Linked DNA regions of Oryza sativa Japonica Group. The protein of the gene in region 4 interacts with the protein of the main gene of each other region in a pairwise test. Links are inferred from orthologs where the notes say so. Each region holds a gene or a part of one and is shown on either strand. Other genes may lie near its edges. The genes, in order: uncharacterized protein; thioredoxin-like protein CDSP32, chloroplastic; two-component response regulator-like PRR1; putative protein Brevis radix-like 3; histone-lysine N-methyltransferase ASHR3-like; FKBP12-interacting protein of 37 kDa; protein indeterminate-domain 16.

Region 1 (4,604 bases), on a different chromosome or scaffold from region 4:
CTCGAGCGTCCAAGCGCACCAGGTATAGCAGTAGTCTCTTCTTCACTAGTACTACGTATATACGTTGCTCGTTAATTGCAACTTTGCTAGATCAATCTGCAACAATGGATTGATCGTTTTTTTTTTTGAATTTGTCTTTTTCATGTTAGCCGTGTATAGATACGTGTTACAGATCTATTTAGACTAGGCCATGTAGTATATCTGAGACTGAACAAAGGATATACTAATTCCTTTTCTTTTCGACATAAAAGGGATACTAAGTTTTGTAGCAATTCCGATCCGTTCTAAAAATACAGTGTGATATTTAAACTATTCATGTATAGAATATCTATCCGAGGAATATAAATTCTAAACATACACCCAATTCTGCATGCAAATCTTTATTCGCTAACTGTTCTACACTGCAGGGAGCAAATCGGAAGATCCACTCATCCCCGCACTGGACAAGGGCGCCGCGCTGATGGTTTGCAGGATCTGCAACGCCAAGGGCAAGCACTGGACATCCAAGTGCCCCAACAAGGACTTCGCCCCTCTGCAGCTCGACGCTCTCGTCGACAACAATATTCCTCCCAACTCTGGCGGCGACAATGGCGGCGGATCCCGGCCGGGCAAGTACGTGCCCCCGAAGCCGAGGGAGTCGGAAATGCGGCGGAGGAACGACGAGAACTCGGTCCGCGTCACCAACCTGTCGGAGGACACCCGCGAGGAAGACCTCCGCGAGCTGTTCGGCAGCTTCGGCCCGCTCACCCGCGCGTACGTCGCGTTGGATCACCGGACCGGGGAGAGCAGGGGGTTCGGCTTCCTCAGCTTCGTCTACAGGGAGGACGCCGAGAGGGCCATCGCTAAGCTCAATGGCTATGGCTACGATAGCCTCATCCTTAATGTCGAGTGGGCTGCTCCAAGGCCCAACTAGCCTTTACTAGCACTAAAATTTTCTATTCCATCCGTTTCAATCATATTATAAGTTGCTTTGATTTTTTCTAGATAAAAAATTAAGTTTGATTTAAATTTATAGAAAAAATATAACTTGAGTTGTAAATGCTAAATGTTAGTTTTAGTGAAACTAATTTGGTGTCATAGATGTTGCTAATTTTTTTCTATAAACTGGGTTAAACTTAGGAAGTTTTAACTAGAGAAATGGTCAAAGCGACTTATAATATGAAACGGAGGGATAACATAGTATTATACTTACTACTATCTGCTTTGCATGTTTCATACTATAGTGTTGGATTAGTGTGATATTTTGTTGAATCAATGGTTTCATCAGTTATAATATTTTGAGGAAGTTGCATGGTTGAATGTTGGTGGTTGGTTATGTGTGTACAAATCCAAATTAGTGAGAACACTAATATTACTAGGCCCAATAGAATGTCTCTGAGGCCTAACTTATCCGGCCCGTAGACTAAAAAGCCCATCAACGTGGATACCGCCTTACAGATCGGGGCGCACAAAACGATCCGAGCCGCTCGTTCCATTTCCATTCCTACGCCGAGGTCTTCTTCCCCACTCTCTCCCTCCCACGCCGCCGCCCCCGCAAACCCTAGCGAACGCAGCGGAGAGAGGAGAGAGCGCCATGGCCGTGGAGGTGGCGACGCAGAAGATCAGGTGGGGAGAGCTCGAGGAGGACGACGAGGGGGACCTCGACTTCCTGCTCCCGCCGCGCGTGGTCTCCGGGCCCGACGAGAATGGGTTCAAGAAGGTGGTCGAGTATCGCTTCGACGACAAGGGGAACAAGGTGAAGGTCACCAGGACCTTCCGCGTCCGCAAGATCGCCCGCGCCCGCCTCTCCAAGAGCGCCATCGAGCGCCGCTCGTGGCCCAAGTTCGGCGACGCCGTGCAGGAGGACGTCGGCGCGCGGCTCACCATGGTGTCCACCGAGGAGATCGTCCTTGAGCGCCCACGCGCCCCAGGTTGTCACTGTTCTTGTGCATCCCCCTTCCTGTCCAGATCTGCGTCGATTGACGTGTTCTCGAATCGAATTATTTGTTTATCGTTGTGCGCGATCTTCATCAGAACTAGACACGATGTATTGGAATGTTTCGTGCTGTCTATTCCTCTATGTGAGATAGATTATAGAATCGAGGCTGGTGATCTATTTAGGAAACAGCTGGTGCTGCTTTCCTTGAACACTACATACGTCAGGACTCTGTTATAATTTTTCTTGCTTGCTTGGTTTCAGTTTTATCATTTGCAGGCACACATCTAGGTAGAAAGAAATGTGCAATAATGTTAATCATTGAGCTTTATAGGAGCAGTTAATCTGCATGTATTGAAAGGAGTATTTAAATGGGTAATTATGGTGACACAAGAATGTCATTTGAAGTTTTGTTTAATTTTGAAGCGATTCTGGGGTTGAATATTTTTAACATTGAGTGGAAAATTAATAAGAGTCCAAAGTTAATATTTTTGGACTTGAGTGTAAAGTTTCAGTTAGATCTTTAGAGAAGCTGCGGTTGTTTTTAATCGAATATTGAGACAGGGGACATCGATAATGCAGATTAACACGTCTTTATTCTTCCTAAGAGAAGTGTTGAAAATACTGGATAGTGGTGGATCAGGAAAACAATTCTTTTGTGAATACCTATTATGTGCGTATTGTGTAATTGATTGTGGTTTGGTGTGTTAGTCATGCGTATTGTCTGATGATAGAATTTTCATATTGCAGTGGCATTGTATCTTTAGTTTTGTTGTTCAAGAATTATGCATAGGTAATTCGATATCTATCATGGGTGCATGCCCTCGTCCAGTCGTCCTTATACCAAATTGATCTTCGAAGTACATAGTATCGTCACATTTAGTTATGCTTGTTATAACCAATGCTTTTGGTCTTCTAATGCATCGACACAAATCTTCTTAGTGGAGTGCAGCCTTGTTGAGATCCTTCATTTTTTTTGTTCCAAATGATCTATACTAGCTGACTTTGCTTTAGTCTTGTAAATGTTTATGCCTTTGTCTTCTTGTTTGCTAACTGTCACTTAATTTTATAGAGTAAAGCTGAAGAACCTCTCCCTTTTTTCCCCAAAGGCTCAGCTAACTTTGCTTTAGTCTTGTAAATGTGTATGCCTGTCTTCTTCTTTGCTAACTGTTCATTTAATTTTAGGGAGCAAAGCTGAAGAACCAAGTGCTTCTGGTGATCCACTGGCAAGCAAGAGTGGTGCAGTTCTCATGGTTTGCAGAACCTGTGGGAAGAAGGGTGATCACTGGACCTCAAAGTGCCCCTACAAGGATCTAGCTCCCCAGACAGAAGCTTTTGTGGACAGGCCTCCCACTGCTGATGGCTCTGGACCTCCAGGTGGCGCCGTGAAGGGAGCATATGTTCCTCCAAGCATGAGGTCTGGTGCTGTTGATAGGGTTGGACATGACATGAGGCGTAGGAATGATGAGAACTCTGTCCGTGTGACCAATCTATCAGAGGACACCCGTGAACCCGACCTACTTGAGCTATTCCGCACATTTGGTCCAGTTAGCCGTGTCTACGTTGCGGTGGATCAGAAGACTGGAGCAAGCAGGGGGTTCGGCTTCGTCAACTTTGTTCACAGAGAGGACGCTGAGAAGGCTATCAGCAAGCTCAATGGTTATGGTTATGATAACCTTATCCTTCGTGTTGAGTGGGCAACACCAAGGCCAAATTAATTTTGTTACTCCCTGCAAGCGTTACATACTTTTCATGAATGTTCGATCAGTATGTCTCTTGAAATAGTACTTTTGGTTTGCGCATATCCTGTGTCCTGAACTTAAGCTGTACTATTTTTGCTTGGACGAGAATAACTGAACTCGCAGCTATTTCCTATATCAGCTGATATTTGCAAGTGTGTTTGTATGGATGTGCGAGGGTTCCATATTTCATCTTGTTCATTGGAGTTTTTCTTAAAATCTGTTTGATTGTCGCTCAACCTGTGCAACCCCTACAACTGCAGCTTCCTGCAATGTGCATGATTCTTTTTGATGCCCCTGATCACGAGCCTTGGGGAGTTTCATCATCAAATCGACGTTAGCTAAAGCAATGAACAGGTTGGATGCTGTAACAACCGGCAAAAATCTGTTGGCAAAATACATCTGCACGCGGATAGATTGCAGCGTACAACAGTAGGAAAAGGGACTTAACAGTCTGACGAATATCTCAGCCACGCCGAGTTACAATTCCATCAGGGTTCTGGTTGTCTGTACCTACTACTAATACTCCTCAAAATAGCAGCATCATTCGATGATAGTATTGGTACAAAAAGGGTTCTACAAAAAGGTCATATCAAGGACCTTAAGAAAACAGCGAAGTATATGTCTCACGCCTGTACTGCAAAACCTCACGCCATATCTGCACTTGCAGCTCTTCCTCTCTCCAAGAAATTCAGCCTCACTCATCGAAGTGAGAGGCATGGTGGATACAAATGAACCATTTGCCATCAACCTTCTCAAACACATTGGTCGCAACCTGCCTTCCCCAGCTGCTGCTCCCTTTGGTCTTAACCAGCTCCAGGCAGGTCACATACCCAAGATCACCTCTCACATGGACCTCAACATCCTGCAGATCAATCTGGAGAGGGAACTCGTAGTCCGCGTCGCACACCATCTCCCAGCTCTGCATCACCATGTCGTAGCCCGATATC
Region 2 (3,809 bases), on a different chromosome or scaffold from region 4:
ATAACTGATGCTGACAGCCGCTAATTTATAACAGTACCAATGAACAGAAGATCATTTTTTTTACGTTAGGGCATGCACTAATTGAGCAGTTTCTGAACTGAACCCTTTTGTGTCAACTATGTAAATCTAGTGATCTGGATTGCTTCCTTGTGATGACATCCCAGGACCAGCAGTCAGCAGAGCAAACCAAGGAAGGCAATTTTGTCCAGTTTTTGACCGACATTACCACCTGCAAGTAGTGCATAAGATCTGGAAGTGAAAGCAACTTGCTGTGAGATGATGTGAACTTGTGGAGGACAAGCTGCCATTGCTGTTGATCTTTTCTTTACGGCGTAGGCAGCTTCCCTACGCTACCCTCTGTTTCTTTCCGTCTGAAAATGGAAGCCTGTAAATATCTTCAGATTCAGTTTGGGCATTTGACAAATGTTTGGCAAACCTGTGAGCAGTTCTTGTTTGGTCATCTTGTGGCTTCCATTGCTCTTGGTGAGCAGATCATTGTTATCTTCTTTTTGAGACATGGGGTAATTAATTAAGAAAGAAGGTAATCAGAAGATAAATTAACTGGGCAATCATATAGATAGAAAGATGGATGGATACAGATACAATCATAGGCAAAATCAAGTCTCGAACTTGCAATTGACGTTCCAAAATTCTAGTATTATTACACGGGACCAAATCAACGAGATAGTGTGATCAAATCGTCCCCATTAAGTGTAAAAACATCGATCAGTAGTGATGATCAACTTTCTATATGAAAGTTGCTCTAAAATATCATATTAATCTATTTTTTAAGTTTGTAACAATCAAAACTCAATCAATCATATGTTAATACCACCTTGTTTTGCGTAAAAAAACTTAATCTTCATCTTCAGAGATAAGAACACCACCTATGATAGATGGATGGATACAGATACAATCATAGGCAAAATCAAGTCTCGAACTTGCAATTGACGTTCCAAAATTCTAGTATTACACGGGACCAAATCAACGAGATAGGTTTGATCAAATCGTCCCCAGTATAAAACAAGCTTGATCTTCTCAAGCTAGTGTGGTGGTGTAAAATTACAATCATGATCAAGAGAGTAGTACAGTAATTAATTTAATTACGGTTGCTGCATGCAGCTGAGCTGCGTAGTGATGAATCTGTATATGTCTAGGTGACCTTGACGCCGTTGTATCTGAGGATCTCGCCGATGAGCTCCCCCCTGCCGGAGCCGACGTAGCGGCCGACGATGTCGCCGTCCCTGATGAAGAGGAAGGTGGGCACCTCGACGACGTCCATGTCGCGGAGGAACTCCATGCAGCTGTCGTTCTCGTCGCCGTTCATGCGGGCGAAGACGGTGGTGTCGGCCATGGTGCGCGACAGCTTCACGACGGTGGGGTACACCTTCACGCAGGGCCCGCATCGCTTGAGCCCCACGTCGAGCACCACCAGCTTGCCGCCCTCGCCGCGGTGGTCGGAGATGAGGGACTCGACGTCGGCGCGGGAGTGGAGCTGGACGACGGCGGAGTGGTGGTCGCCGTAGTAGAGGACGTCGCCGGCGAGCTGGTCGGGGCCGATCCCCTCCTCCTCGTGGACCTTCTCGGCGCCCTTGTAGAAGGTGAAGTGGGGCACGGCGGTGATCCCCTCCCGGCGGCACAGCTCCCGGGTGGCGTCCGACTCGTCGCCCATGACGAGGAGGAAGTCGACGTCGCCGCAGGTGCGGCTCAGCTCCACCATGCACGGGTAGATGCGGCTGCTGTTCACGCTGTGGCTCGCCGCGAACTCCACCACCACCAGCCGCTCCTTCGCCGCCCGCAGCGCGCCGTCGAGCTCCTCCGCGCTGTGCACCTGCACCACCCGCTCGTCCCCGCCGCCGCCGCCGCCGCCCTTCTTCTTCGTCGTCTCCGGCGCCTGCTCCGTGCCGGACACCGCCGCCCTCACCGCGCCGCCGCGCCGCCGCCTCCTCAAGAACCTCGCCGTCTTGCTCCTCCCGCTCCCGCCGCCGCTGGCCGGCGTGGCGCCGCCCAGGCTGGTCGAGCCGGCGAGCGTGGACAGGAAGGCGGCGGTGGATGCCATCGACGACACACAGCTGCTAGCTCCTAGCTTGACAAGCTAGCTAGCTACTGGCTACTGTGGCTACTGCCTAGTGATGAAGGAGAAGAGGAGAAGAGAGGATGAATTAAAGAAGAGAGAATTCAGCAAGAAATGGATGGCAAATAGTAGCTGGAATCCAATCAGAGTTCATCCACACAGCCACTAGTTCAGGATTGGGTTTGTGGCTGGGGGGTTTCAAGCAGCTGAGATTTTTCAAGTTGGGGGGGACTGATTATTTTGCCCATGCACTTTTGTTGGTTTCTCGCCTTGTCAATATTCCTGTCTTGTTTTTTTCCCTTCTAGAAATATATATTCATGGTTTGTTGGTAGCTAGCACAAGCCCTGATTTTTTCCCCCCACATTTAATTTATAGTCATGGTCAGAATTTGTTTTTTCAACTTTTGGAGAATTGGGGGCTGGTATTGAGTTCATGCATGCATGTAAACTTGGATATTTTTGATTTATTGTGATCAAGAACATCAATTGGGTCACCCCAGATTTTGTTGTGAAGGTTATTCCACCAGGTAGTGGATTTTTACCCCCTATCCCAGCCCTGTTGTAGCTCTGCTTCTTAAAAACAAGACAAATAGTGATAAAAATTCTGAAAAAAAATCAACAATATAGAGTACTATATTGCATCTACTACGACTCTCAACCAACTAAATGGGGGAAAAAGAAGGCAAAATATATATACCCATGAATAGTGCAATATTTACAATTTGAATTTGTCATTTATGTTTCTCATTGTGAGTCGAACTTAATTAGTCCTCAAATCTTCGGATAGTAGACATATATTTATTATACCAATGCTACCAGTTTTTTTTCATAACTAGTATTGGCATGTATTTTGATACAATGAATCAATGATGAGACACCCTTAAGGCGTGAAAAATTTCTCAATCCATTGTGATGTATTATCACAACTAGTTCCTTACTTAAAAGAGGGATTTTGAATTTTTTGATCTATAAATAGTTACAATTTAGGATGTACCACTCACGCATCTGTTATTGTGGGATCAGAACAACCACCATGTCATAGGCACGGAGGTTTTTTTTTGGGATCCTGAAATGCCACCTTTATGAGTATCAAATCCTAAATATCCCTACTTGTAAAATTATGAAATAACCGATCATCATGGATGTTAGATGGTCCCTGTAGTTTCAATAAATATATTATAGCAACATTCACAAAATGATTTAAATTTTGTTTTGTGATAATTGAGCACTTGTAGTTGCAATGGCATAATATGAGACGGTTCATCTCAAATTATCTCTAAGGATTCTGATAATTGACCTCCTATTATATCACATATATCTTTCACACGTCTCTATGATTTGTTTTATTTTAATAGGGATATATGAAAAAAATAGTTATCTATTGGCAGGCTACAAATAGATAGAGAATCACTTTAGTGTTTTGTTGCATTGGTGGCAAGCCTTATTTATGTATATCAATGGTTGTATGGAGCTCCTTCAGCGGGGAGGAGTGGCACCCCCCAAGGAAGATTTGGCTATGGAATGGGTGAGCGGAAACGAGGCAATCGAATCATGCAAATAAGAACATATGGTCTTTTTAGACAAGTTTAGGCTGCTCGGAAGCGTATCACCCTACTCTTGTGTTCTTGTTATGAATGAGGGTGATAAAGTTTACAATGTAGATTGGGTGGATGTTGTTCTAAGTAGGAGATGATGAACTCTTCTTCTCTTGAAGTGTGAGTTTATTCTAACTTGG
Region 3 (4,604 bases), on a different chromosome or scaffold from region 4:
GGAGCACTGAGTAAAGTCCTATAAGATTCTGAAACAAGATGGTTACGATCTAGACTGGCCTATGCATCACTAACTAGCATAATTACATCTCACCTTCAAAGATGATTTTCTCCAAAACGTCCATAGTAACAGTGATGGATATGCCACAAGTTCCTTGGGGGACAAAAAGGATGTATTGTGTGTGAGCGAGTGGATGTATTGCCTAGTTAAAAGCAGAAGAAATGTATTGCCTACATCTAATGAGTTGCAAAGTGAGCAGTAATCATCTGCACTCTATTTTACATATAGGAAAACCTTTCAAACTACTCTGGAGAAGAAACCATCTCTACCTCCCTGGAGGATGGATCATCATCTTCATCTTCTGAGATATCATCTCCAGTGCTGGTTATATCTGTATAGTTTGCCTGTCTAACAAATTGCCCTCGCACCCTCGGCCTTGTTTCAGCAAGTTTCTTCCTATTCACGTACCTCACCTTCTTGTCAAAACAACGTTCCTTCCTTTTCAGCCTGAATTTGGCAAGTGCTGCAGCTCTCCGTTCAGACCGACTACATGTTTCCTCGGGCATTGGTGTGCTTGATGCCTGTGGCCACATATTTTGTGTTGGCAGTTGATTTGATTGAATGCTCATACCAGCAGGATTATACTGAAATGGTGGCATCATAGATACACCATGACATTGGGGATAAACATTATACTGAGGGAGCAACGTTTGTGGTGTATGCACTTGAGCGTTGTTTATGTTCCCTTGGAAATTTTGCACCGGAGGATGTGTCATACCGTGGTCCATCATCCCTGGGTAATAAAAGGGAAAATGATATACAGGAGGAGTTCCTGAAGCATCATTTTGGCCTTCATTGCTTCGCTCCAGATGCAAGTTAGAGGAAGAAAAGCATACCACAGGGTATTGCACTGGCATCTCAAAGGCTTCTTTATCCCGAATATTTACATCAGTGCCAGTGTCACTTCTGTCAGTTGTACTAGAGAAATTACCCCTGTGATCCGAAGAGTCTAACCGATTTCCACCTTTTTGTAGTTCGCTGTCAAATGAGCTGGTAGTTGGGGTGCTTGACTTAACATAAGCTAGAAAAGCAGAAGACTCAGCAACCCTCAAGTTAGTCTTTATTGGACGTGAAAACATTACTCCGGGAGATGCTGGCATAAAAGCAAAGGCATAAACCTTAGAAACTATTCTTCAATTGGGGGATCTGCTAAATCAGCTAAAGGAAATGGTTTAAGGCTCAAGATACTTACAAGCTTGGTCGCCGCCTTCAGTAGAGACTAGTAAACCCTCTGGTGTGCCTTTTTGTTTAGGCTCAGCATCAGAAGGATTAGACTGCAAACATATCAAGAAATGCAAGGGCATTTAACAAGTAGACTGATGCAAAAAATTCAGCATCTTATCATCATCAATTGAACATATGAGGCAAAAAGGCATGCTCTAGCATCTAAACAGAACACAAAGGTAGAAAGATACTAAATAGAGAAGTAGTATGTTGGACAGCAAAATATAAAAGGATAACTAGTACTTGATTGGTTACCTCATATTCATGTTGATTCGAGGTGCTTGTTTCTTGATTAATGTTTTCTTTTGGCTTATCATCTGTGTCATCCGAGAGAAGAGTGGTGCTGTTGGTATTGGCGTCACTAGGTTCCGATAACGCCAACTCGAAATTGTCATTGAAGAAGTTTTTCTCCGACAAACCAAGCTGCCAACACCAACATTCAACTTAAGATCAACTCATACACGCTACAGCAACGCCACAGCCATCTCAGCTTAGAGCATGCTTTTCAACACAGAATTTGAAGATGAATCAACATAGTCCCCTTTACCATCCGCCTTCGCCGCCACACATGGGTCCAGAGGTTCAGCAGCTCGTTCATGCGCAGTGGCTTGACCAGGTACTCGGCTGCCCCGAGACGCAAGCACTTGACAACAACAGAGACCTCGTCTCTGTTGGACATCACTGCATAATTCGCATCAAAGATGAGGATGGTCACTACAACAACCCTACGAGCATGGGCATCAGAGGAATAGGAGGACAGCTTACTTATGATGGGGATGTGGCGCAATTCCTTGTTCCTGGCGATGTATTTGAGCATCTTGAAGCACTTGGAGACGGGCAGATCGACCTCGGCCAAGATGATGTCGATCTCCCCCGCCTCGCAGTTGAGTACGTTGATCACCTGCCTCGGAGACTTGGCGCAAGTCACTGAAACAAAAACAAAGACGTATCATTCCATGCGAGAAGGTGTGATAGAACTGCTAATTCATCTACTAAAGCAATCTTAATCCTTAATTATAAGAGCAAACCAAATACTAAGCAGACAAAGCTGAACTGACCTTGGTATGAGCAGTTGCAGAGGAGGCGGAGCACCTCCCGTGAGCTACTTGGGTCGCTGTCGCAGAGCAGAATCCTCACCTTGCTCCGGTCCACGAACTGCTGCCCTCCCCCTACCGCCGCCCCGCCGCCAACGCGATCCCCCTCGCCGGCGCCCACCATACCCCGACCCGCACGGATTCCCCCCCTAGCCACTTGTCACCAGCTGCCGACGCGTCCGAATCAGCACGAACAGCACAGCAGCCAGCAGCAGCTGCCGGCGCCTAGACTAGACGACGCAGGAGGACGAAGCGGTTGTTGGATCTGCGGGCGGCGCCTCCTCCTCCATATCCCGTGCCGTCGCCAGTAGTATCGCCCCCAGAGGCTAAGCAGTGTGCTACCGCCGCCACCCGCCGCCGACGCCGGCGGCGTCCTCCTCCGCCGCGCGTTGCGGTCCGGCCCGCACCATTATCCGCGCCTAATCTATTCAGGAGGCGGCGGCGGTGGTGGTGGCGGCGTTGGTGTCCGCTCTACTGGCACAGGATATTTTCCTCCCCCTACCTTTTGCTTTCCTCTCTCGGTGGGGCACGCGGCTCGGCTCGGCTCGGCTCGGCGAGAGATGAAAGAAAGAAGAAAAGGCCTCGTCACGCCGCGCCGGGGCGGTGTAAAAATAAACGAAACGGCTCGTCGCGAGCGGTTTGTGTCGCGTACTCGCGTCGCGCGGTGCGGGTGTGCGTGTGCGTGTGCCGGTGTCAATGGATTCGTCACGGGACGGGACGGGACGAGCCGCGAGCCGCGGCCCCGTGGGTGGGAGGGCCAGGTTGGATGGAGGGGAAGAGCCGGGCGTGGTTAAGCCAGATGGGCCCGGCCTGGCGGCGTGTGATTTCGGTGAGAAAATATCTACGCCTACCTGGCACGGAAATATCTTAATCGCGGATGCGATTAGGGGCGGCGGGCGTGGTGGGGCCGTGGCCGTGCGATACGGGAGCCGCCACGCGCGCGAGCTGGGGGCCAGCGAACGAACGCCAGGGAGACGCGCTACTGTAGTAGTACTGTGGAAACGACGACGCGAGAGGCGGAGGGAGGTGGTGCCGTGGTGGTGCCGTGGGAGTGGGAGCGCCACGCCCACGTACGTGCGGCGGCGTCCACGGTGGCCGCGTCCCCGCCCTCCGTTGCGGATCACGACGAAAGCCGCGCCAGCCCACCGCGGACGTGCCAAGGCGGAGAAAAATCCAGAGGGAAACGCGGCTCTCACGTTTTCACGTAGTACAGACCTTGATGGGCAGCATGGCGATACGGTGGTGGCTGGGCTGATGAGTAAAAGATTTTGAGCTACCGGACGAGACGAGTGGCCGGTAGAGAGCAGCAGCTGGATGGGGGGTGTTTTTTTTTTCCCCGTGTTGGCAACTTGGGATGCCCATTGCCACTACGCCGATCCGGAGAGCGACTGGTCGTGGACTTGTGGTGGCGGCTCGTGGCGCCGGCCTAGCGCTTTTTCTGTAGCTTTGCTTTTCTTGTTTGCCACTGGCGATGTACGTGGTGGCCTCCGGGCTCCGGCAGCAAATCAGCGATGCTGCAAAATGGGTTTAGCGTTAACAGCGCTGTCGTTTGTTTACTGATCTGTTACCAGCGCTGTAATTCAGTAATTCAGCAGAATGGTAAACACAACCAAGATTTTTGATTGCAGCTCTGAACTATGGCCAGGCAAAACAATCATTTTGACGAAGGGTGTTTCCTCCAGTTCACTGGCTGTATTTCTTCCACCGAGAGGAGTGGATGGTTGGTATCAGTGACGACACAACAACATCTCGATCTCAAAAATCTGGAGGCAGGCTGGCAGCCAGTAGCAGGAGCTTGGAGTGCCGATGTCATCAGTCTCATTCACAGGACGCACTAATCATATTTATTGCTACCAATGAAATCATACAAAATGAGTTATTAGCTAGAGTAGTGCTGCATACAGGCTTGAAAGTCACCCAAAGCTACTACTATCAGCAATAAGTTGTTCTGACAGTGGAAGTCCCCATATATATTCGCCTTTATTCTATGACATTGACACACCACAAACACGTTTTGGCAAAGGTATTTATCTACAGGGAAGGAGTGGCGATTGCTCCTGCCTCCGTCAGCAGAGGGACCAAGTTCCCTCCTTTGTGCATCGCCATGGTATCTGTTTGAAAGACATCAATGAAGATCGACGTTAAAATAGTGTAGAAAAACTCTGGCCTAAGTGACCCTTGTTCTAGCGATTTTCTTGTTCAGAAAAAAGTTAAACAGCGATAAAA
Region 4 (4,519 bases):
GCCACCGTACCAGGAAATGGCGACGGACGCTTTGCTAGTAGTTTGTCTCTATCACACGCACATTACTTCGTCAGTTTTCAACCACCGTGACTTTGGACTCTTTGCCAACGTACACCGGCTGATCGATCTGCGGGTGACCTAACCAATCGGACGAACGAATTCAATTCAGTTGCAAGGTTGCAACACAGCGCATACGGTCCCAGATCGGCCATGCTTGGGCAATTCCTGGGCATTGCTGGTAAGTAGAGTACTGTACTCTCTCTCTCTCTCTCTCTCTCTTTTTTGTGACATGGGTAAGCAGAGACAGAGCACTAGTGGTATACTACTGTACAGTCTCAGTGGTCGTCCATCTTGGCTGCCACCCCTGGTCTCCCCCTCGTCTATTAACTGCTGCTACTACTATCTCTTCCTCATACAGACAGAGCTAGTAGCATGTAGTAGTACACTCTATATACTGCAGTACTGATGGCAAAGTAGCAGGTGTAAATTCGATCCAGGAGTAGCATGTACGAGAAGAAGTTTAGATCAAGACGAAGAAGAAGAAGGGACAGACGGGTACCTGTGAGGTGAGGGACTTGACGGCATCTCTGCCGTGAGGCGTGGCCGCGCCACGGGACCCGTCCTCCCCGCCTTCCTTGGAGGAGCACGCGATGCATGCCAGCATCTTCTCTGACCCCCTCTCCCTATCTGCCTCCCTCTCCTCGATCGACGACGACGAGACGGATCAATCAGTAGTCAATCGCTCCCCCCACAATCTCACCTTGTGTATCGAACTGCAAAAGTGTGTGCATTAGCGTTACATATATAGTACTACCACAGTACGGCTATCTATCAGAATTGAAGCCGCTGTAACGAAAGATCAAGTTTGATCAGACATGCCGTCATGTAGACACTACAGCCCACGGCTACAGTTGCATGCATGCATGTGATAGAATGTCTATCCATGAGATGGTCAAACTTTGTCGTTGTTCGCATGGCAATAGTACACTTAGTACATGTATAGTACACATTTCCATGATAATTAAACGAGTGCGAGATTTCGTGTATCCACGCACACGTATGTACGACCAAAATAAATACACGCCGAAAGTACGTACTCCTATCAAGTATCAACAGTGACACTATCAGTCTAGTATCCTCTAGCCATAGCCACAATCTACAATGTACTGTAATAACGTAAAGCGGTTTCCAAGCCGGTGTGTGACGCCATTCTAGTACCACACACCATTTGGACCAGACGTGCCATGCCATCCTTGCATCTCACATGTAAGCACGCGAACACGACATCCGGTACACTATGCGAGCACAGAGCTATCCGGCCGGTCCGTGACCACGCACACGTGCGCATGCGTGTGCGTCGGAGGAGCTGTCCTTCCGGCTCGTTGAGCAACAGAGAGCAATGCAAGCATGCGTATGTACGAGAGATAGCTATAGCTAGGGACTCTGGTCTCTGGAGCTTCAATTCGCCACCGGCGTCAAAACGGGGCAAGCTGGCTGGCTAGCTGGTGCAGTGGAGCACTGGAGCCTGCAGCGACAAAAAAGTATAGCACCAGCATAACAAAGCAAGCAAGACCCATGCCAATGGCAGCATCACAGTCGTTCACAGCTACTCCTGCATGCATGGCATGCATTCGCAGGCTGCTCTAACACAGTGGAAGAAACGCTACGCGGGGCAAAGCAGATCGATCGACGGGCACAGGCACAGAGATTCTTTAATCGCCATGCCACATGACACACACACATATACTACTAGTAAATCAAAACTGAAAAGCAGGTTGTAGTAGTAAAATACGGTCAGCTACATTGCGGCAGGGAAGCTTCTGATGTTTACGCGCACATGGAAATTTATTAACCACCAGTGTGCTATGGCTAGCTAGCTCCGCCCGTTTGTGTATGTGTTGTGCACAGTGTTCATGCAGATGAGGCGCAGCTACCCACGCGAGGTAGGCAGGGGCGTATGGGGAAGACTCCAAACGACACCAACAGCAGTAGCTCGGTGGACGAGGCAGGGAGCCGCTCAGATGTGTATCAGCTACAGTCACTGCAGCTGGGGCCCCACGCCCTCCCCCAGATCAACGTACTGCCTGGACTTTATTTTTTTTTTCCTCCTGCTCCATCCCTACCGAGAAAAATATGGGCCCCGGCTAAAGCGACCGGCTATCGAGTGACTGCATTGTGGAGCCCGGTAGGGTTTTTGCTGATTATCTTTTGCGCTTTTTTAATAGAAACACGACGTGATAACCTTAAACACGGTATTGTGTGTGTTTTCTTTTGGCCGGTGGTAGTAATTTCTTTTGTACAGTAGTAGTATCAGCTAGTAATTAATTAATGTTGCTGTAGAGGGAGAGAGAAATGAGAGGCACAGTGAGAGTGATGAGATGATGCTTACAGGTAACTGACGGCCCCCAGATAGCTACGTTAGCCACAGCTCTCTCTCTCCTCCGAGTTTGCTCGCCGTGTAAACAGTGTGCGTACCCAAACCACCTACGCGCGCGCTGACCGGGTTGCTCCGCCTCCTCTTCCTCTCTCTCCGGCGCCTGAAATGATGCAGACAAAAATGTGCCAAAATAAATATGTATACGCCTAGAAGCGAGAGCGGGATGCAAGGAGAAACGGCCTTTTATTTTTGACACCAAGATAAACGGACTTTGACTTTCTGGTGAACAGAACAGGGTAAGAAACGGCATGCAAGACGAGAAAACAAAACATAGAAAAAGTGTAACTCAACACACACACACACAAAAAAAAAGCAAAGCAAAGATAAGACGAAGCATCAAGCAAGCTGGTTGCGTGCGTCGCCGTCACCACCATTACCTTCTCCTCCACGTCGCCGGTGAGCGAACGAGCGCAATTTGCAGCCCGCCGGTCGGCTTCACCTTCGCCGCCCTTTCGGTTTCGAGCTCTGCCTCTGAATCGACTCAGAAGCCTTTGGAGATAGCACAGAGAGAAAGGCCTCCCTTGTCTGGTCGAGGAGTGGATGCGGCTGCGTCAATGGCGCCAAACACAGCGGCGGCAAAGATATCAGAAGCTACGCAGCGACGCTGTCGCCGCACAGAAACAATCTGGGACTGAGTGGGAGATTCCTCTCGCAGTCGCAGGAGAGAAGAGCCACGAAGCGAGAGAGAGAGATCGAGGTGGGGAGGGAGAGAACACTGCGGGCGTCGCGCTGGGCCGTCGGATCCTTCCCCCATATACGACGAGAGGGCGCCGAGTGCACAGGCAGTGCAAGCCGTCTCGTTTCCGGCCCATATATAGTCCCTCCCCCACGGGACACGCGGCGGTCCCCGCGAGATCGCGGCCGTCCGATCCTGCGCGGCGTGTGGTCATCTCCCTGGTCCTGGGCTGGGCCCCACCTACGGTGATTCGCTGCGGGGCCCGCGAAGGCCCGGGCCCCGGCACGGACCGTGGCGATGACGAACGTGCTGCCGTGGCGCGATCAGGACCGTGCGATGTGATGCATATGCTGACGGGGCTTTGTCATGATCGAGGACCGTCCGATCTTGATGGCGCAAAGTACGTCAGCGTGTGCTTGCAAGCCCAATAGGCGAGTAGCCCATAGCGACTGACGGAGCGTGGGGCTCCTCACCGGGAGACCGCGCTGGTCCCCTTTTGCCGGTTCGGCCGGGGACCCTGGGTGAGACTCTAAGCTCCCAATTTGTGGAAGGTTCGCGAGACAGGAAACACACAAGACGCCGGCGATGTATACAGGTTCGGGCCGCTGAGAAGCGTAATACCCTACTCCTGTGTTTTGGAGGATCTGTGTATGAAGGAGCTACAAAGTATGAGCCAGCCTCTCTCTTGTTCTGGGTTCCCAATCTGGAAAAGTCCAATCATCCCCCCTCTAAGTGGGCAAGGTCCTCCTTTTATATCTTAAGGGGATACCACATGCACCATCTCCCCCTCTCTTTCTTCCAATTTGACTTCTCTTCATTAACAGACGGAGATTTGCATCGCCGCCGTCCGAATGACCTTCTGATGGGACGGCCCATACCTACCTCCACTTCCGCCGGAGGCAGGCGCGACGTGGGAAGATGGCTGTCTGCTGATGACTTGACCATTGTCAGACCGGTCACAAATCGGTCATTCTTGTCCACCACGTGTCAGTTTAACAATCTGCATGTTCGCCCTTCTTCATACAATATCTTGCCTGTAATGGTTAGGATGAAGCCTGGCATATATCTGACCGGAACCAACGTGCCATCTCCAGGAGCTAACACGCCGGCTCCAGCTAGGGACGAGTGCTTGGAGGCTCTCGTCCTGACGGGATGGGGCGAGGCGTGCGTCAGACCGCCTGTCGCCACCTAACCCATGATCTGACCGGTCTGTGACTGGTCACAGACCGGATAAACGAGCGTGCTGTACTGCGATACAGGCGGCGTGACGCGCTCGTCAAAACTGCAATAAATGTGGTTAGGTGAGCCCCGCCATGCTCACCTACCCCATATACGTGGCGCAAAACCCACAAGGGGTCGGGGCGCTTCGGCCCTCGGGGCCGAGACGGGAGCGGCCCGACCCCTTG
Region 5 (3,967 bases), on a different chromosome or scaffold from region 4:
ATAGATGGCACAGAGGGTAAGAAGATGAGGAGCTGCTGATGAGGGAAGCGCACTGAAGATTAAAGAATACTCAAAACTCCAGTAGCGATCACTCTGTTACTTTGTGAAGCAGCCAGCCAGACTATTCATATAGTACTAGTATATGCTATGACCAATGTTCTTTATTATCTTGCATATATTCTGAATAAAAGGGCTCTAGGTGGTCTGCTTTGTCTGCCACAGTGAGCAAAATGTATCCGAATATCAAACTTTAATGTTGGGAATATAATACAAGTCATTTTATAATAATGTCGGCATTGTCACTCCCTTTGTTTGTTCCGGTTGTGTGGTAGTATTCTGGTGATGGTGGGAGGCGGGAGGCGGCACATTATTTCTTTGTCAAGATGCTTGTTTTTCTTCCCTTGTGTGATGGATGATAGGTACTTCTTGGCATGTCTATTGGACCGTCAAAACATCTTGCGTATTGGATTTGCATGGGAATCTGATTCGAGTCGATTGAGACTGCATTTGTTGCTATCAGGCAATGAATTGAGCACTTTGTACGCTGATTTGATTCTGTGTACGAACACTACGGCAATTGGCAAATATGACTTCTGTTCTGCACCTATCACTGTTCTGCACCTATCAGTGACCCAAGTGGTTCTGCAACAGGGACTGAGACAGGTACCCCTGCTTTGTTGATTTGATCTATTTCAAATGCAGTTACTTTCCACGAAGAAATGCTTCAGTGTCAATCTAGAAATGTTGAGTGAATGAATGTTGAAATCTGATATACTCTTCTGTACCAGTGCCTTCTCCGTGTTTCTGATATTTTGTCACTAGCCAGAAGGAATGTGTCAAAATAATAGTATAAGATTCTCTAAGACAATAATAGCCCTCATGTACTCGCCTCAACTTGAGGGCTGAGGCAATCGAGAGTTGGAGCACAACATTGATTACATGAGATAGTCGAGTATTCTCAGCGAACAACTGTAAATTAAACAAACTATGTAATCAAATGAATATTGTAACAAATTACAACAGGGAGTTTTGGTGGTGGTGGGGAGGAGCAATGCAAAAGAATCGTCGTTCAAAAATCAATTTCATGTGAGAAATGTGTCATCCTATATTATACAGATGAGAAGCGACTTCAGCTATTGCCACTTCATGGCAAAGCGGGCAGGGATGCAGCAGCAGCAGCAGCAGCAGCTTCAGTAACTGACGCTTGTATGCTTGTTGGAGATGTAACGGCAACGGCTGATCTCCTCCTTTTGCATCCCCAGCATATCCGGTGTATTTTCCGTTTGCTTCTCAAGTTAAATGGTACCTCTATACAGTTGGTCCAAGGTAACAAATGTGTCATCGGTTTGTGTCTTGAAGCAGAGGTGTCCTGTTGTATCTTCAAAGATTCAAGCCACTCGTTCTCCAATGCTGCAATTGCGAGAGCACGCTGCGTAGGATTCTTTATTTGGTTGCCCAGGTAACCTTGACAATTTTGTGCCCCGCAATAGCATTTAACCTTCTCCCCGAAATGCACAAACCTGAAAAGGAACGTGAACTATTGTTACTGTTGCTCATAGAAAATCATTATTATTCACAAGACTCCTGGAAGAAAAAAAAATCTTTCTTCGTGTGGGCTGGGAGAATAGTCACCGTTTCAACGCTCCCACATAATAACGGTATTTTAATCTAATACAAATGCTAATTGGTTTCATAAGAAAATAACAGAAAAAAATCGTGGTGTTTCTGCTACCGAAGCATGATTTGGAAATTCACCATCTAGAAGAGGAAGTGGGAAGCAAGTGAACAACGTTTGAGTGGAGGAGAAAAGATAAGGAGAAGATACTCAAAACGAGGTGAGCCATTAGCATACAACTAATTGAGTATTAATTATTTAAACTTGAAAATGGATTAATATGGTTTTAAAAGTAACTTTCGTATATATGTTCTTTGCACCAAAAAAGCACCGTTTATTAGTTTGGGAAGCATGCGTGCAAAAAACGAGGTAAATTTTCTCTCTTTCTTGCCGAGTCATTCACAGAGCCCATAATGTGGATGTAAAAGCTACATGCCACACAATAATAGTACAAAGGTTCTAGTTCACACACCAGAATTTACATATGTACATATACTCCACTAGATATGCATATATTTCAAATCATGGTTAACCATAGCTGATTGCAGGAAAGCAGTTTCTCTATGCAGGAACTATATCTCCATATCAAAAGAATGTATTCATTATACCTTTTTCAGTAAGAATACTTAGGATCCTTAAAAATATAGTTTGAAAAACTATTGTTTGCACATACCTGTAGTCATAAGTTAAGTGTTCTCCAACTTGGATGGAACGAGAGGCGAAAACACCAACTCTTGTCTCACCATCAACTTGCCTGGACAAGCCACATAGACAATCAGGAACATTAATCATTTCATACTGTTCACAAACACCGAGTACAGAGCTTTTCTGTTCCAAAAAGATGGCATTACCATTTTTCTAATTTACAGTTGGGATCACAACTGTGGTTCAGAAAACGTGATGTGTTTCCTTTAAATGTTGCATCTATTGTAAAATCTTTGCTGATTTCACACATGTAGAAATTTTTATCACCTCGCCGTTTCATGTCCCAAAGCCTTTGTTCACATGTTGCATCATTGATGACTGGAATAATGTTTAAAACACATTAGAAAAGCATTTGAAAAGAACAGATGAGCATAGCATTAAGTTGTTGTAATTAGTTATAGAGAGAATAGCTAAGAGCCTTTGAATCAAACCCAGAAAGATATAATACGATGCTATCCCACAGCGCCATAAAACTCAACTAAAAAACAGTGAAGGAGACATACTCTGTCCCAAAATGGAAGCATTTCTTGAGAAGTAGGTTGAATTAAATGGGGAAAGGTTGCGATTGGTTGAGCAGAGGAAGTAGGTGAAGAAATTAAATGGAGAATGGTTATGATGGGTTGAGATGAAAAGGTAGGTAGAGAAATAGCTACATTTTAGGATGCACTTTGACTGCTAGAAATAGCTACATATTAGGACAGAGGGAGTAATAAAATAAAAACCACAAAGAGCTAAGGTCACAAGAATAAGTGGCAACAAGAACTGCCATTGTTCATAATTGTAGGCTTCGTAGCTATGTTATGTTATAAAATAGAGTGGGAACAAAATGTACACTCGTTATCCAATTTTCAGATTAATATAATAAGTTTTCATCTAAAGCTGAGGTACCTTTTCTGTTAAACAGATGCAATGACTAAACAGGCTTTTTCATGCTAACTACCAATAAGTTGCTTCAAATTTATCTTCAGGAAATATTCATGTCAAGAAATTTGGATTGTACTGTAATGGCATAATGTGACTCCACAATGACATGCATACAGTTTACTAAAGAATATGCTAATTTGTATAATATAAGTTTAAATGGTAGAGTAACTTGTACCTTCACCAACATACTCAATTATAAAATCACCTTTTTCCAATGGCTCCAATGAAATAGCACCCCATCCACAACGTTTTGTCTGTACAGAAAAGTAGTTGCTGCAGTTACAGACTTATTCTCCCTAACAAATGAAGAATGATGGTGCCCGGAGGTGTCAACAGAAGGTGAAAGTAATCTACATTTGATGGCATGACAACTTCAAACAGCACTATCATAGCCATATGCCATTTTACATTAAAGAACAATACAAAGGAGGTTTGTGGACTTGAATACTTTTGAGTCGTTGGCACAATACTTCTGTTATTAGATATCATCAACGTTTGAAGCTCAGTTCCAAGTTTAGGTAAAATTCAAATAATGTAATCAGTAAGTTAGTTGTTCCATGATGATACAACTTGTAGCTAAAAGCACAGGCTCTTCGACAAATGAGGAACTTGACAAATTTGAAAAGTTACGGCAGATAATATCACAGCATGCAACTTTATATGTATGCCGAAAGAGTTACACAGGTAAGGAAGAATGTAATGGTAATTGATGTCCTTAACGAA
Region 6 (4,041 bases), on a different chromosome or scaffold from region 4:
TCCACTGCTGGCCCCATCGCCTTGGATCGCTGCTCACCCTTGCTGGACCGATTGCTTGTCGTGAGTCATGACGACCAGTTCATCAGCTCTTCGGTGATGTGTCTCCAGCAGACTCACGTCCATCGCCGGTACCATTGATCCCCATCAATCCTCAATCCTGCATTCCTGCTAACAGGAACCCTCACCGGCATAATGCAACCATGGCCGGCGGAGTAGACGCAACGGCTTGCACGCACTAATTGATGTGCAGAACCGCGGAGTACTGTTGGGAGTGATGCAGCGAGGGGCTCCACGACTCATCTTGCGGCGTTGTGATTCCTTTTGAATGCAGATACTGCCAGTGAATCAAGAAGCCATTTTTCCCCTTCTTTCTTGCAGTACACATGTACAACCAGATTAGATTATACTCCATCAGTTAGTTTCCTACAGAAAGAGTATTAAGTTATCATTCGCTCGGTTGTTGCCTCCACGGTTGGCACCGGCAGATGGGCACCAGTACGACCAGCACCAGCCAGCAAAGCAGCGGGCAGAGGCTAAGGTCACCGCCGGCGAGACCTAGGGTCCGGACTGGTTGATCTCCATGATCTGGAGATTGGCTGAGCCATACAAGTCGACGTTGATGGCAAACAGAGAAAATTGACGGAGTGCCAAAAATGAGAACGGAAGAAACATTAGGATGCTATTAAAGTGAACAAGTAACTTTTGGTGCTATAAAACCAAATTTATGAACTTTCATTGCTCTAAAACCAATTTTGCCAATTTTTAATGATGGGATTCTGTAGACTAAAGAATGCAAAATAACTTCACATCCATTCTGTTTGATACTCACTGTAAGGGAAGAAACTTCTCCCCTTCTTTCCATGCTACTAATATTAAGCGTAAAATTCTTGTCTAATGAAAGATGATCAAGCCATCAGCTCTAAACATCTGTTTTCCCATATAGGCATTCAACGCTTTATGAACCTCAATAGTTCCTATAGTTAAGGGCTACACGCTAGTATAAAATTCACTACATTGTGCAACCAATATTAAACAGGAGGATGAATTAGTCTAGAGTTGAAACAATGTACGTAGTGAGCTAAGAATATAAAGTAGTTGTCCAAATTAATCATCAATGGGCAAAATGGGAAGAAAGGATTATAAAGTACTATCTCTATCCTTTATTATTTTTTGACGTTGGTTAGTTCAATTTGATATCTATACTACTTAAAATGTTAGTAGTGGTGGTGTCTGTTCTGCTACATCACCTCTACAACTGACATTTTTGGTCCGTACAATCTATACTATAAACCACCTTCTAGCGAGTCATCTCCTATTTCACTGCTGATTCTTCCCAAATTTCAAAATCACCTACTCGTTCAATAAGGAAAATCATAAAAGTACTATCTGGACTACATATGTGCTTAATTAACTTAATAAGCTAGAAACTCAAATTGTTTTCCGTTGCAACGCACGGGCTTTTTGCTAGTTACATAAAAAAGCGGAGGGAGAATATATGCATATTACATAACATACCATTGAACTGATTCCTGAGTTCATTGTTCCGAGTCTTCAAAACTGCAATTTTCATTCCAAGTTCATGGATCTGTACCCAAAAATTGTTTTAGAATACAATGTTACAAGTAGTAGGATCAAAAGCCTATCATGCTTTGATGATAGTGATAATAGTGAAAAACAGGTGCAACTATATATATGCTCAAGGTGGCGGACATGCATGCAGGGGGTGGAGGAGAGTGGAAATCAAATGCAATTATTTCTCATGTAATATGTTCGTTGTTCCATGAAAATAAGTAAAAATATTTAGCTCTTTCAGGTGGCAATATGGGCTTTCTGCTCAAATTGTCTCCTTTTCCTTCTGCTTGGACAAGGAGAGATATTCAATATTTGAATCAGATTGGATTTCATTCCACTTTCCTATTTCTCAACAACAACTTCTCTCATCAGCTATTTCACGTTCCTAAAGAATGAGAAGACAGGTTATATTGGGTTAAGTCTATAAGAGGCTTACTTTTCCTTCAGAAGCCATCGCCCCAATCTCTTCATTTTCCTCTTGCAATGTTCTACACTTGGCCATTAGCATTTTCCCATGTTTACTGGATGGAGTAAAATTGACAGCAGCAACATTGTCCTGTAGTTCCTTGATCTTTTTCTCCTTCTCCTCCACAAGATTCTGGTAAAAAAAAAAAGCAAGTTCCAAGATTGATGCACAAGTACAGTTACTTGCATTAGACAGTGAGCCTAGAAACTGTGCTTTAGCTGTTTAGGCCAAGAAAAATAACGCAATTATTATTCACCCCAAAATTTCAGTCATACCAAATTAAGTTGTCATAGTCATGCCTACTACACCCAGTAGACAATATGATCAAAATACCACATTGCTCCCTTACCCAAAACAAAACAACTGGTCACTTAATGCATATTTTTATTCTGAGAAATATAAATACATTATTTTTGCGACATATGCATGCAGTGTGATGAAAGGCGAAGTTTTGTACCCTTAATACACAATTAAAGAGGATTATAGTCATTGGTTCAAGCAATCCAATAATTGCTTTTTCTTAATTTGTGTCTAGCTATTAGTGCAAAAAATTGCACAAAGATACAGCACAAATATTTAGTTTTGTAAATCTCGCTAACCTTTAATCGTGTAAATTCCTCGTGGATTGCTGGATCAAGCAATAATCTCCTTGTCTGTTCATCATACAGAAAAGGGCATTAAAACAAGTTATCTAAATTGTCAACAGAAGGGAAGGCATTATTAAGAATCATGCTTGTAGGAGATGGACCTTATGTTTAATTGTATTATTCGTTTCAGTGCAATTATTAATCTTATATGAATATAACACTTCAGACTATTACAAGGAGCTCAAGATGTTGGGATTAGAAAGTAGTCTGGCAGTTTGGCACCTGACTAGCACCTCACTAAACATGTTACATAGTAACAAATAGGAATCCTCTTTACTTGGTAAACAACTACAGGTGTGCGTTGCTTGTACATGTCAGATTGTCAGTGTTCCTGTAATATGCAAGTTTAAACAGGCCACCAGATTGACTATGTAACATGTACCCATTAGCCATGAAAGTGTTGCACTAATGGGAGCAATCAACCAACTTGTTACAGATGATCTAGTAATCTACAAGGTATTCTTAGGGACAGAATGTTTTGGAATGATATCTTAATTAGTTGGAAGGATCAAACTGGTTTGTTAGCATCCACATCACATCATTTCTATGAACCAAGATGATTAAGAAGTAAATTCCTGTTTGTGCCTATCTCCCTCTCCTAGAGGTTTTCTCCTCCAGCCACTGTCACTTGGCTCAATGCAGCATGGTGCTTACCCCATATAACATTGCAACACCATATGACATGTCACACAGTTCTCATTTATAATTCCCATTCTTTTGGGTGAATGGTCAGACGAACAGATTCAAAATTAAAATGGCAGAATAAACAAATAGATCATGAAATATCCCATCACAAAAGGAATATCCAGAAAAGACAAAACAAAGAGAAGACCGTGAGCAAAGTAGCAAAGCTATAGATATAAGTTGAGTGGGGTGAAGAACAACACCTCAGCCATTCCATGTAAGCTGTGTGATATGCATCACAAGCATGTAGAGACAAGAATTCCATCGGAGTAACAATATATGCAAATGTGATAATAAGGTTGTTTTATGTTAATATACTGTTCTACTATGTACTTAATAGGTCTTGGATTAACTATTACATGAAGCAAGGACAATGTGTAAGTGCATAGATCAAAGAGAGGATTTTGGAAGATGAATTCTGTACAGTTACATCATAGACATGTATCACAGCATGCTAAGAATTGGTATAGAAGATGCCAAGTGCATGCTACCAAAATATTGAGAATTATCACTATTGAGGCAAACTAGGATGATGAAAAAGCTCAAGGACAAGTACAATATAGCACATATTTTTCTATTCAAGTCTGTTTCTTTGTATCAATGAAGATAACACTTACGAAAGCAACTCTATAATAATAAGCATCAAAGTTTGGAGAACCAATAGCACAAGCA
Region 7 (4,778 bases), on a different chromosome or scaffold from region 4:
GTAGTAGTGTTCTAGCAAGGATCCAATATAGCATCGTCGAACAAGTTGTTGTGAATTATGTCACCCGTTTCTTGGTACATGACACTTTACAATAGCATATCATCAACTCTCCACTGCCCTCCGTAATGCACTAATGCTGTCTCAGGAAAGTCCAATGAGAAGCAAACAACAAAAAGATTCCATGCACGTCACGATTAGCAAGCCCTGCTTAGCTTTCCGGCCGGCAAGACACAAAAAACACTAGCTAGCCTAGCAGCATATGCAGCGTCTAATTACACCACACGATCTCGTCGTCTTAATTTGCTGGTGAAATGGAACGTACAAGAAGAGATTCGATCAGAGGTAGACGAAGAGATGGCGCGTTTCGCGAGCTAGCTGGGCTGGACTGGATTCTTCTTTGGCTACATGATGCCCATGCTGTTAGCGTGCTGTAGGCGACGCCGCGTGGCGTCGACGACGTCGAGGGGATCGTCGGCGTCGCCGCCCTCGGTGACGACGGAGGAGACGTAGCTGCAGGCGACGTCGGAGCTCATGGCGGCCGGTAGTGGCGCCCCCGCCGCCGCGGCGCGGAACTTGTGGCGGCAGCTGAAGCAGGTGATCTGGAGCAGCGTGGCGTTGACCTGCCGCACGGCGTGGTCGCGGAGCGCGTGGGCGCGGCTCAGCTCCACCTGCGCCTGGTGCCGCATTCGCCTGGCGGTCGCCAGCTCCTGCTCGGCGAGCTCCACCTGCCGCCTCGCCTGCGCGCGGGCCTCGCCGGCCGCCTCCTTCTCCGCCATCGCCTGCCGCAGCTGCTCCCGCGCCTGCTCCTTCGCGGTGGCCGCGGCCGACGCCTCGTCGCTTGTCCCAGCCGCGCCCATGACCTCGTCACGGCCGATGGAGAGCTGCAGCTGCGTGGAGGCGTCGTTACACTGGGAGACACCCGTCGGGTGATGCTGATGCGCCGCCGCGTAGAAGCACGCCCCCATCCCGCCCGGAGCGGCGGCGGCGCCACCCGCGTTGAACGGCGGCATGAGCTGGAGCTCGAGGTTGTGCGCGCCAGCGCCCCCGCGGTAATGATCGTACGACGGCGGCGGCGGCGACGGCGCCATGTCGAACCGGCCGCGGAAGGCGGCGGCCTTGGGGCTCGGCATCGAGGGCGCCCCGGCCCCGGGCCAGGCGACGGGGCTGGCAACCACGTCGCTGGACGGGCTGGTGCTCGACGCGGTCCGCGACAGCGACGCCGCCGCCGGCGCCTGCAGGTCCAGCTGCTTCTCCTGCTCTAACACCGCTACGCCGCCGCACGCCGCCGTCGACACGTTCCCTCCCTCCGCCACCGCCGCCGCCTGCCCGCGGCTGGCATTGCACGTGTCCTGGTGCTCGATGAAGCTCTCCACCCTGCTCACATCAAACAAATCAAACAGCACATCAGTACGTACACAAACTCGAACGGGAAAGAACGCATCGACGAAGCCAACAACGGCGAGCGAGACAACGAGACCAGGGAGAGAGAGAGAGAGAGACTTTATTGTATGTGAGAAGATTTCAATCGATTTATGTCGCTGCCTGCACAGGGGTCCAAACTCCAAACTCCAAAACGATTATTTGGATCTACGTAACGTGAACGCCGGCCTGTGTTGCATGCGCGCGCAAAGTTGCCAAGCACGGAGAACGCCGCCCTTTGAGTTAGCTTAGCTTGTCAGGACTCAGGCGGCGTGCGAGCTAGTCTGCGCCACTCGGCGCCCTCTCCCGCGCATTGATGCCGCGCGCGGCAAAGGCAGGCGAGACACGCGCGGACGCGCGCGCCGAGCGAGCCAGCCAGAGACACGAGCGGAAGCAGCCGCGCGCTGCTGAAACAAATGCGCGAGCAGGTGGTGGACGCGCGCACTCGCTACTCGCTCACTCTGACGCAGAGCGTGGCGTTTCCCCTCGGGAATTGCGCACCGATCCGCCACAATCATGGCCCCGAAAAAACATCCCAAAAAGAGAGAGAGAAAACTTTGAAAAAAGCGAACCGAATCAAGAACTTGCAAACTACTAAAGAGAAGGAGAAGAAATAAAAAAACGTTTTTACGCGGTGGAAGAGTTGGGTTTACCGGGAGAAGACGCGGCCGCAGTCGCAGGAGTGGCCGCGGGTGCCGCAGGTCTTGAGGTGGGCCTTGTAGTCGGAGTGGACGGCGTAGGCCTTGGAGCAGCGGGCGCACGCCCACTGGCGGTGGCCGCTGTGCTTGCGGCGGAAGTGCTTCTTGATGCCGACGAGGTCGCCGAGCGCGTGGGACGGGTCGTGGTGGAGGCACGTCGGCTCCGGGCACACGAACACCCGCTTCCTCGCCGCCTCGCCGGCCTCCCGCTTCAGCAGTTTCCACGGCACCTTGTGCCGCCGCCGGTGCATCTGCAGGTTCTGGTCTCGCTGGAACCCCTGGTTGCAGATCTCGCACACGTACCGGTCCGACTCCAGCAGCGTCCTCGGCGACAGCGACACCACCTCCGCGTCCGGGTCTGCACCACCACCGCCGCCGCCGCCGCCGCCAAGCGCCGTTTGGTTCCATGCACCAGCAGCAACCAACGAAGAACGAACCCATCCATATCATTTTTACCATGGCCATTGCCGCGCCACACAATTGCATGCAACAAATCTATCCTGCCAACTACTACCAATAATAATTGGATGTACTCGCATGATGATATCTGGGGCGGCGCGTCTCGGCGCTTAGCTTAATTACCTGGCGTGCCGGCTGGCCGTCGCTTCTTCTTCGCCGAGCCGGCGGAGGCGGTGGCGATCTGCAGCGACCGGAACGGCTCCGGCGTGGTCGCCTCGTCCGGCGGCGGCCCGGCCGTCGTCGGGGCGCAAGAACCCAACATGGCGGCACAGGAAGAGGCAAAATAATCCCTCTTTTTTTTCCTGTTCTTGTCTGATCACAAACTCTCAGACGATGTGAACAGAATGCATTGCACTCGTTCGTTCTATATAGAGGACGATGAAGAACAACAAGAGATCGATAGGCAAAACAATAAACTGGAGGGAATGGGAGTACTATAATATACTACTCCTACCACCATGAGCTTGCAAGGAATCAACAAGATGTGAGAGAGGGAAGAAGGAAGAAAGGGTCTTGGAGTTGGCTTTTGTGGGCTGCTACAGAGACAACTCCAAAGGAGGAGAGAGAGAGAGAGAGAGAGAGGAAGCAGCTTTCCACCGGCTTTAGGTTTTAGCAGCTTTCTTTGGGGTTATATGGGGAGGAGGAGGGAAGGAGAGCTAGAGTTGGTAAGTACTTCTGAGGGTTGTGTCTTAATTGCCTTTCAGCTAGGACAGGAGGGACTGGCTGGCATGCATCTCAATAAATAAAGGCATTTTTGGAGCAAGGAAAAGGAGTTTACACAAACACACAATGATCCTATAGATATGGGTGAGGATAGATGGATGGATGGGTGCATAATGGATAGATGGTGTTTGGGTAGGAGGATTAGATGGAAGCTTGCAATTGTTGGCTAGCTAGCTAGGAGTAGCTATTACCAAGTCAGTATGCGCAAAACAACAAATGCTAGAAAGGAAAAAAAAAAGCAAAGAGAGAAAGTATACTAATACTCTGACATTGGACAATTGTTTGAGCCTTTGAGGTATCCTTTTCAAGGAAGAATCTGAGATGGCAAAACTAACTGCTACATCAGGTATTAAAGTCATGTTAAGTAGGTTAGATTTCAGCAAGAGAATTTAATCTCATACTAAATTACAAAATGAGGTAATTCCTTTGTGCAGCATGTGCAGTGTGCATCAGGAATTGTGTCTATAAAAGACGGTGTTGCCACAAGGAACTGTATCCCTGATAGTTTTATCTCCTGATATTTGTTAGTGAGATGAATTAAATAATTAATTTGGCTGTTTTGGTTCCACGAAAATGTACTAGTGCACTGTAAAGTACTTAAAAGTGGCCACTGTAAAATTGTTGCCACAAGGACTTTTAGGTGGGTAGATCCACGTGCATGGCTTGTACTAATAATATATGTGATTCATAGCGTATGTACCCCTACATACTCCTATTATAATTAAGTATTTATGTTCTTAAGGCCCTGATTTAATTAGTCTTTTTTCTCACATCGTGATTAGCACCAAGATTATGCTAACTGGATCTTTGTCATTCTCCTAGAAAGGATTCGGTCGAGCCTGGAAGGAGAATGATTGATTTTGGAAGCTTATTGTGCATTTGATTATTAATCGCCCTGTTTGTCTGATTAAGATAGCGTACTCAACGATGCCAGTTAAGTAGGAGTATGTTTCAGCTGCTAGGCTCCAAATGGAGTGTTTTCTAGATGTACGAGATAAAGGATGCATATGGCCAAGTACGTACTGTTTGATCGTAGTGGATCTAAAATATATTCATCGACATAGTCGTATATATATATAGAAAATACAACCGTATTCATAAACAAAATAGAAAAATGAGTTATGTTTTTAGAAAAATGAGTTATATATAAATACACACATATATACTGCTTTAACAAACATTAGTGGTAAAGCGAGTGGTGAATCTGCCACTGCCCCAACCAACTCTCTCTAATTTTTTGAAGGTAAAAAAATGAGATAAGTAAGTGATAGCAAAAACAGGTTGATGATGTCCCTTTTTCAAATTACGTCGCAACACACAGGTAATATATATTAGCTAGTATTTTCAAACATTTTCTGGCAACTGACTTTGTCTTTTACTAGTATTAAAGGAAGGTCTAGCCGGTAAAAAAAAAAGAGTTGTTTTTCTTTGGTCTTTACTGATAGCAGAATTAATCAATGTAAATTAATTATATTTTTT

Evidence for each region.
Region 1: the proteins of putative protein Brevis radix-like 3 (region 4) and uncharacterized protein interact in a two-hybrid assay, tested with the Arabidopsis thaliana proteins (2 studies listed by BioGRID). The link is inferred for Oryza sativa Japonica Group from reciprocal best matches to the Arabidopsis thaliana genes BRX and EIF3G1.
Region 2: the proteins of putative protein Brevis radix-like 3 (region 4) and thioredoxin-like protein CDSP32, chloroplastic interact in binary tests that used the Arabidopsis thaliana proteins (3 or more experiments, as listed by UniProt). The link is inferred for Oryza sativa Japonica Group from reciprocal best matches to the Arabidopsis thaliana genes BRX and CDSP32.
Region 3: the proteins of putative protein Brevis radix-like 3 (region 4) and two-component response regulator-like PRR1 interact in binary tests that used the Arabidopsis thaliana proteins (3 or more experiments, as listed by UniProt). The link is inferred for Oryza sativa Japonica Group from reciprocal best matches to the Arabidopsis thaliana genes BRX and TOC1.
Region 5: the proteins of putative protein Brevis radix-like 3 (region 4) and histone-lysine N-methyltransferase ASHR3-like interact in binary tests that used the Arabidopsis thaliana proteins (3 or more experiments, as listed by UniProt). The link is inferred for Oryza sativa Japonica Group from reciprocal best matches to the Arabidopsis thaliana genes BRX and SDG4.
Region 6: the proteins of putative protein Brevis radix-like 3 (region 4) and FKBP12-interacting protein of 37 kDa interact in binary tests that used the Arabidopsis thaliana proteins (3 or more experiments, as listed by UniProt). The link is inferred for Oryza sativa Japonica Group from reciprocal best matches to the Arabidopsis thaliana genes BRX and FIP37.
Region 7: the proteins of putative protein Brevis radix-like 3 (region 4) and protein indeterminate-domain 16 interact in binary tests that used the Arabidopsis thaliana proteins (3 or more experiments, as listed by UniProt). The link is inferred for Oryza sativa Japonica Group from reciprocal best matches to the Arabidopsis thaliana genes BRX and IDD14.

Annotation. Positions count from the first base shown.
Region 1 is NC_089036.1:33,988,064-33,992,667, forward strand, and holds uncharacterized protein, read left to right. Parts: upstream 1-1,479; 5' UTR 1,480-1,573; coding exon 1,574-1,910; intron 1,911-3,100; coding exon 3,101-3,633; 3' UTR 3,634-3,809; downstream 3,810-4,604. Other genes in the region: uncharacterized protein, read left to right, coding at 1-22, 408-913; uncharacterized protein, read right to left, coding at 4,352-4,604.
Region 2 is NC_089041.1:17,432,682-17,436,490, reverse strand, and holds thioredoxin-like protein CDSP32, chloroplastic, read right to left. Parts: upstream 2,242-3,809; 5' UTR 2,060-2,241; coding exon 1,154-2,059; 3' UTR 840-1,153; downstream 1-839. UniProt on the Arabidopsis thaliana protein: Probable thiol-disulfide oxidoreductase involved in resistance to oxidative stress. May participate in the reduction of alkyl hydroperoxides derived from oxidative stress by acting as a physiological electron donor to the BAS1 peroxiredoxin.
Region 3 is NC_089036.1:25,050,542-25,055,145, reverse strand, and holds two-component response regulator-like PRR1, read right to left. Parts: upstream 3,129-4,604; 5' UTR 2,503-3,128; coding exon 2,343-2,502; intron 2,212-2,342; coding exon 2,050-2,211; intron 1,966-2,049; coding exon 1,832-1,965; intron 1,708-1,831; coding exon 1,540-1,707; intron 1,335-1,539; coding exon 1,253-1,334; intron 1,154-1,252; coding exon 303-1,153; 3' UTR 31-302; downstream 1-30. Other genes in the region: glutaredoxin-C4, chloroplastic, read right to left, coding at 4,410-4,489. UniProt on the Arabidopsis thaliana protein: Controls photoperiodic flowering response. Component of the circadian clock. Expression of several members of the ARR-like family is controlled by circadian rhythm.
Region 4 is NC_089038.1:30,808,602-30,813,120, forward strand, and holds the start of putative protein Brevis radix-like 3, read right to left. Parts: upstream 3,222-4,519; 5' UTR 2,815-3,221; intron 2,538-2,814; 5' UTR 2,390-2,537; intron 774-2,389; 5' UTR 665-773; coding exon 560-664; intron 1-559. UniProt on the Arabidopsis thaliana protein: Acts as a regulator of cell proliferation and elongation in the root and shoot. Regulates roots architecture and primary root protophloem differentiation.
Region 5 is NC_089036.1:24,530,722-24,534,688, forward strand, and holds the end of histone-lysine N-methyltransferase ASHR3-like, read right to left. Parts: intron 3,499-3,967; coding exon 3,420-3,498; intron 2,639-3,419; coding exon 2,467-2,638; intron 2,370-2,466; coding exon 2,289-2,369; intron 1,521-2,288; coding exon 1,145-1,520; 3' UTR 833-1,144; downstream 1-832. Other genes in the region: S-adenosylmethionine decarboxylase proenzyme-like, read left to right, coding at 1-39. UniProt on the Arabidopsis thaliana protein: Histone methyltransferase. Involved in stamen development.
Region 6 is NC_089040.1:16,713,597-16,717,637, forward strand, and holds part of FKBP12-interacting protein of 37 kDa, read right to left. Parts: intron 2,692-4,041; coding exon 2,638-2,691; intron 2,171-2,637; coding exon 2,009-2,170; intron 1,586-2,008; coding exon 1,516-1,585; intron 1-1,515. UniProt on the Arabidopsis thaliana protein: Probable regulatory subunit of the N6-methyltransferase complex, a multiprotein complex that mediates N6-methyladenosine (m6A) methylation at the 5'-[AG]GAC-3' consensus sites of some mRNAs.
Region 7 is NC_089043.1:21,201,337-21,206,114, reverse strand, and holds protein indeterminate-domain 16, read right to left. Parts: upstream 3,200-4,778; 5' UTR 2,839-3,199; coding exon 2,700-2,838; intron 2,476-2,699; coding exon 2,073-2,475; intron 1,375-2,072; coding exon 402-1,374; 3' UTR 29-401; downstream 1-28. UniProt on the Arabidopsis thaliana protein: Transcription factor regulating starch metabolism by binding directly to the promoter of QQS. The IDD14beta isoform attenuates the transcription factor activity by competitively forming heterodimers with reduced DNA-binding capacity.